Kluyveromyces lactis: one gene and its partner. The protein of the gene in region 1 interacts with the protein of each later gene in a pairwise test. Links are inferred from orthologs where the notes say so. Each region holds a gene or a part of one and is shown on either strand. Other genes may lie near its edges.

What was found.
Region 2: the proteins of RPN9 (region 1) and RPN6 interact in binary tests that used the Saccharomyces cerevisiae proteins (3 or more experiments, as listed by UniProt). The link is inferred for Kluyveromyces lactis from reciprocal best matches to the Saccharomyces cerevisiae genes RPN9 and RPN6.

What each region holds. Positions count from the first base shown.
Region 1 is NC_006038.1:63,077-66,129, forward strand, and holds RPN9 (proteasome regulatory particle lid subunit RPN9), read left to right. Parts: upstream 1-1,207; coding exon 1,208-2,392; downstream 2,393-3,053. Other genes in the region: SNX41 (Snx41p), read left to right, coding at 1-906; TIF35 (translation initiation factor eIF3 core subunit g), read right to left, coding at 2,907-3,053. UniProt on the Saccharomyces cerevisiae protein: Acts as a regulatory subunit of the 26S proteasome which is involved in the ATP-dependent degradation of ubiquitinated proteins.
Region 2 is NC_006041.1:136,732-140,129, reverse strand, and holds RPN6 (proteasome regulatory particle lid subunit RPN6), read right to left. Parts: upstream 1,934-3,398; coding exon 656-1,933; downstream 1-655. Other genes in the region: TPP1 (polynucleotide 3'-phosphatase), read left to right, coding at 1-562; dolichyl-phosphate-mannose-protein mannosyltransferase PMT1, read left to right, coding at 2,923-3,398. UniProt on the Saccharomyces cerevisiae protein: Component of the lid subcomplex of the 26S proteasome, a multiprotein complex involved in the ATP-dependent degradation of ubiquitinated proteins. In the complex, RPN6 is required for proteasome assembly.

The sequences.
Region 1 (3,053 bases):
GTGATGGAGATCAAGTTCGCGGATTACGATTCAGATCTCATCAGGTACAAGGCGATCCTACAACCTTTGAACAAGACCGTTAGAAGTATAAGGTCGAATATTCAAACTTATTCGGCTGTTTTATCTGAACTCGGCGCGTATTTCAACGCGTTCAGTCTAGAGAATAGCGTGTTTCAAGTGAGTGCATTATTTGAACAAATGAATCGTCTATCGATGGGAATAGAGAAGACAGGTCAAGCAATCGATGTGAATTATGTTAGTGCAGAGATATTTAGTGAAGCAATCATGATCAGTCTAGAAGAGGGAAGCAAAGAAATGCTTCAGTTCATTCATGAAGCACAAAGAGTTCTTCACTTCAGAAATTTCAAGCAAGAACAATTTTACACAATTGAAACTACGATAAAGAAGAGGAAAGATAGAATCCGTGAATTGAAAGAGGCAGACCTACAAGCTGTACGATTGGGCGAGGCATTGAAATTAAATGCAGAGGAATCACCCACCGTTGCTCAAGTTATGGACTCCATGACGCGTAAGTCAGCAAACAAGAATCACACGGACAAACAGATAATGGGGCTTTTCAGGTCATCAGCATCTCCAAACAACAAGTCTGGATCTGATTCGATTTCAAGTGAAGTCGAACCTCATCTTCTAACTAAAGACGAACGGGTTGTACAGGTAAACAAACTAGAAAAGGAACTTGAAAAACTGAATGAATGTTTCAAACTCATCGAAAAGGACTTACAACAAGTCAATGAGTCAATGGATAACTCTTTGAATAACTTAGAGAAATATTTCCATGAGAAGTGGTTCCTCATTTTCCGCGAACTAGCCCACAATATAACATCATGGTTAAAGGATTGTTCAGAGTCTTGGAAAAATGCCAAACAGTCTATAGATAGCATATAAAAGGTTTATATCTCAAAAAGAAAGGCATGAAGTATTGCATTGAACTACATTATTTGATGATGAAAGTGCAGATGGAGATGATTTGCTGTCACATATCTAGTTCATCCACTTCTCACAGCATTTGTTTGGAGAATTGTCATTATTAACGACTTTCATGCTTCGATTGACGTTTTGTAAATATGAAATATATAGATCGATACACCTTCTGAAATGTAAGGTGGCGAACAGAATATTAAAGATTATAGATTAAGGCATACATCGCACGACTAACAGCACTTCAGCAAGCTTAAATAGTCAAAATATGACACACGAAATTGACACCATATTATCTACATTGAAGCAGGAAGTCAATAGTGAATTGGCCCCATTATTCGACGATTTTGAAGACTTGTATGAGAGGAAGCTATGGCATCAGTTAACTGAGAAGCTAGCGATTTTTTTCCATGATAGCAAATCAGAATCGTTCAGACTTCGCCTTTATACCCAATTTGTCAGTAAGTTCATTGACAAGATAAACCAATTGAATGTTGTTGAGTTTTTGTTGCAAGCATTACAAGAAAACGATGACACAGAAGAATCATTACAATATCTAAAGGATCTTCAAAAGGAATTCAAAGAAATTGATGAAAAGAAGCAAAGAAACGATGGTTTAAAACCTCATGTAAATGGGAACTTGTTGTTAGATATTGAGATTGCTCGTGTGAAATTGGAAAAGGGGGACCTAGTTGAGGTCAGAGACATCCTAGACGCTATTGGGAAAACACTTGATGTTCAAGATTCGGTACCTCTCAGAGTTACCGGTGCCTACTACTCGTGTAACGCTTCCTATTACCAAGTAAAGAAAGACTTCAACAATTTCTATTATACCAGTCTTTTATATCTCTCAACAATCACTTCGGAAGAACAACAGCAGCGATTGACACAACTCGAACAACAACAATTGGCATACAATTTGTGCATTGCAGCATTGTTAGGTGACAATATCTATAATTTCGGTGAACTACTTCAGCATCCAATTATTTCAAGTATTTCAAACGATAAAGAATACGAATGGTTATTCAGATTCTTGAACGCATTAACTGAAGGGGATTTCCAAAAGTTTGATCAAATTTCAAAAGAAAGAATTCCCAAGGTACCAATCTTAGCTCAACATGAGTCATTCTTGAGACAAAAGATTTGTTTGATGACTCTAGTAGAAAGCGTGTTTGCAAAGTCTATCAGAACGTTGTCTTTCCGCGATATTGCAGATGCCACATTTTTACCTATCGACAGTGTTGAACATTTAGTAATGAGAAGTATCAGCTTAGGATTGTTGAAGGGATCAATAGATCAAGTCCAACAATTGGTTACAATTACGTGGGTTCAGCCTAGGATCATCAACCAAGAGCAAATTAAAAAAATGAAAGATAACTTGATAAAATGGCAAGATGAAGTGTCGAAATTGGGTAATAAGATTGAAGGAAGGGGTAAAAGTATTTGGGTATAATGCTTAAGTATCGTCACATATTATATACTACGTACATCCGCTTAATATCTATGAAAAACGAAATCCACCAACATGTTTCATTGATCGGTTTGAATTTCTGAAAGAGTTAGACGATATATCTTGGAGTTTGTAATATACAGGTAGATACGTAACACACATAGTACTCGAATGTAGTAATTATACACATATGCTATTGTATCGTTCGAGAGCAAAATGGGTCAAAGAATGTCATATAATATAACCGTATGATGCTGAGTGATATGCTCATTTGTTCAACCAGGAAGTAAGATTATTAGGATACACATACGTCACGCTACGCAGAGATATCCCATGTTATGAAAGGAATGGGATAAATTGTAGGGAACAAATAAGCTGTAAGATAAGATGCAACAACTTTGAAGGTAGAAGTAAAGAGACCTTGGTATTGAAATAATGGGTTTAGAACTTAGTTTTGAAGTAGTTTTTCTCTTCAAAAAATACTATATCAGTTTGATCAGCGAGTTCTTACAGTTTATCATTCTTCTTTCTTTGGTTTTGGCTTAGACCATTCTGCGTGTAACATGAAATTCATGAAACCTCTGCCTTCCAATAATTTCAAAGCTTGAGCAGCAATTTCTTCAGTTTGGAAAGTAACGTAAGCAACACCACGGGATCTACCAGT
Region 2 (3,398 bases), on another chromosome or scaffold:
AGATGATTGGATATTCATGAAATATGGAAAAACCGAGGTACTTGCTAAACTTTCGGCACAAATGAAGGAAACACCAGATTTTCACATCGTCTTCTTCTCCAACCAAGGCGGTGTTGTTAGTGAACCTAGAACCTCTAAAAGCTGCGTAAAACACGTTGATAAAATTTGCAAAGTATTGAAATACATATCGGAAAACGATTCTCAACTGTGTGATCGTATTTGGATTTACTGTGCTACTAAAAAACCAGCTTCCCTTTTTGGTGGCAGCAAAGCCGCCAGCACTGCTCACGCAAATAAAGTTGTTAAGAACATTATTTCTGGCCAGAAGAAAAGAATAAACGGGACAATGGTAACACCTGAAATGTTTGATAATGTGAGAAAACCCAATCGTGGTTTGTTTGATGAATTTCTTAAAGATTCTGACGAACAATCGGACTCAATTGAACTTTTATTTTACTGCGGGGATGCTGCAGGAAGACCAAATGATTTTAGTGACAGTGACAAAGAGTTTGCTAAAATATTGGGCGTACCTTTCAAGGTACCGGAGGAATACTTTATTTGAATTTCGAATGATCTTAAACCTACGTAAAATATATTTATTTACTAAGTTACTTTAATGATTGAAGGATGAGCGTATTATAATGAATTTTTAATTTTAGTATAATACAGCGGCTTTTTCAAAGAGTTGTTCTACAACTCCATTGAGTTGATTGATCAATTCTAACGAAGAATCATAAGTGGCATCCTGTTGTGGTGTCTCATAAATATAAAGCCATCCGTTTCCTTGGTCAAGCACACCAAAGAAAACTTTGTCTAAAATCATTTGTGAAAGTTTGCCCTCTACTTGTTGAGCATCAAGCCCGATAATCTTTGAGATATGCGATACTTCAACACATTCGAATGGTTCGATGATCTTACTAAGATTTGATTCCAAAAGGGTGTCGTATAATGCATTGAAATGTGATCTAATGAGTTCATCGCCCATCAATTCTGTCTTATAATTTTGCATTGCTGTATTGAACTCCAGTAGGGATCTATTATTATAAGCCTCAGCGACTGCCTTCATGGCGTCAATTCCGCGACTTTGGTAGGTCTCCTTAGTATATTTGGCGTTCAAGATAGTTTTCACTTCATCAATCAAATTAAGCATGATCTTTGAAAGAAGCATATACTTTAGCACTTGACAAGCTTTTCCGAATGTGTTTGAGCCAGTTTGGCTGTGGAAGGCTTCAAAGGATTCATAAAAGTATGAGAAAGCAGTCTTATAATCTTTGTCTTCACAGTGTAAGATACCACTCATTAAATCCAATTCTGCCATTGTCAATGTTGGACAATAAATCGAATTTGCGGATGTTCTAGCACTTGTCAAAGCAGCCTTTGATTTAGTCAAATTTCTTAATTTATGGTACACTTTACATTCCAATAGATGAACTTCGAGCAAAGACGATTTATCGTCCAATTTCTTAAACTGCCTCAACAAATCATTGATCAATTGCAAGGATTCGTTGTAATGCGTCTTTTGGTAGTAAAGAGTTGCCAACCTAATCGATAGAGAATGCTTTAAAAAGATTCTCTTCTCCTTTGTGGCAAAGTCGATCGAATCTTCGCATATCTCGATTTGGGTATCCAAGGAATCGGGTATCAATTCGAAATCGTTAAGTAACGTCTTTAAAACTTTGGCAATCTTTGATTTCGCTACTTTCATCATGTATTCACGAGAGCGTGGTACAAACTCGGCGAGTTTCTTCAACTGATGTGTGGTACCATACAATTGACCTAGCTCAAGAATACATTGTTCCTTTTCTTGAGCATCTTTATTGCTAATTGATTGGGGTTGTGCGGCATCTTGATGGTTCAATACTGCTAAGAACTGCGCTTCAGCCTTCTCATAATCTTCCTTCCCTACAAGATTTCTAGCTTCTTCCAACGACATATCTAAGTGGGATTATTTGCTTTCTTTCCTGTTCCTTTCGTAGTTTAACTTCAGCTTCTGCTAGACGATCTCTGGCAGGTGTAGCGCCAATTGTGTCTACCTCGATGTTTTCGGTTTGCCACCTTATTTAATTTACTTTAACTATAATCTCTTGGACAAGATTATATATATCATTCTACTACAGAAACTGGTTCAATTCAAGGCGATCATTTGGTACGTAACTTGAATAAGGGTAGACTATTCACGTGACTTATACGTCACGTGAATCGAAATTAGATTTCCTTTACTGTCCTAATCTTAGCACAGATACATCCGCACGAAAAAAAGGAAAAATAGTCGCGTTTCGTCCTCCGTGATGTGTTTACCATTCCTCGAGAATAGCACGTGAAAGACCCTTCACTGCATTCACTTCAGCCAATCTTTAAACTCCTCACTCTCATCTGCCGCATATGCTGATCGGTACTGGTAATCCACATCCTCAGGTTCATTGTCTCTCACATGTTCTGCAGCAATTACACACCTGTAACTCATAATTTTCACCTCAAACACCTAAAATCACCTATTTGTAGATATCTGAAAGAAAAAAAACTTAATTTCACTGAAAGCTCGGTATGGGTAAATATTATATAAATATATTTGAAATAATAGTATGGATGAAATTAAACAGAGACGTGTTCATTTTGGCAAGTTTTGGGTGGAATAAACTTAGGTTTTCTTTTGCAGATAGAGGTATCAGTCGACCAGTATCTGTGGGAAACTTAGATAGGAGCTAGACAATTTCAATTGGGACCTTTGAACTGGAATTGAATTTTTGAATTGGTTTTTTTTTGTTCTCTCTTCTCAAACATTTAGTTACCATTTCCAAGGCTTTTTCGAAGTGAGAAAACATCTGTTGTCTGTATCTGTATCTGATCTGATCTGATCATTGATTGTATTTCTCATTGTAAAGGTATCTCAGTCTCACTCTCTGTTTGATTTTGTTGTAGAAAATGGGTAAGACTAAGACCTCTACTAAAGTACAAGATTGTGTTCTCGATGTTGATAGCGTTGGTGACATTCAAGTTGAGAAAGGTCCATTGAGACCTTTCTTGGTCACTGAGCCACCAAAGAATTTGAAATCTATCCGTACGATGACTTCTAGTAAAGAACGTTTGGTTGTTATTGCATTGGCTGTTATCGCATCCGTTGTGAGACTTTGGAACCTTTCGGATCCAAATTCCGTTGTTTTCGATGAAGTTCATTTCGGTAAATTCGCAGCTAAATACATTAAGGGTATCTTCTTTACCGACGTCCATCCTCCGTTAGCTAAGATGCTTTTTGCTGGTATTGGATCATTGGCTGGTTTCACCGGTGATTTTGAATTCAAGGATATTGGTCTTGCATTCCCAGCTTCCACTCCATACTTCGCTATGAGATTCTTCTCTGCGTTTCTAGGTTTGGCTACAGTGCTCTTGATGTACTTCAC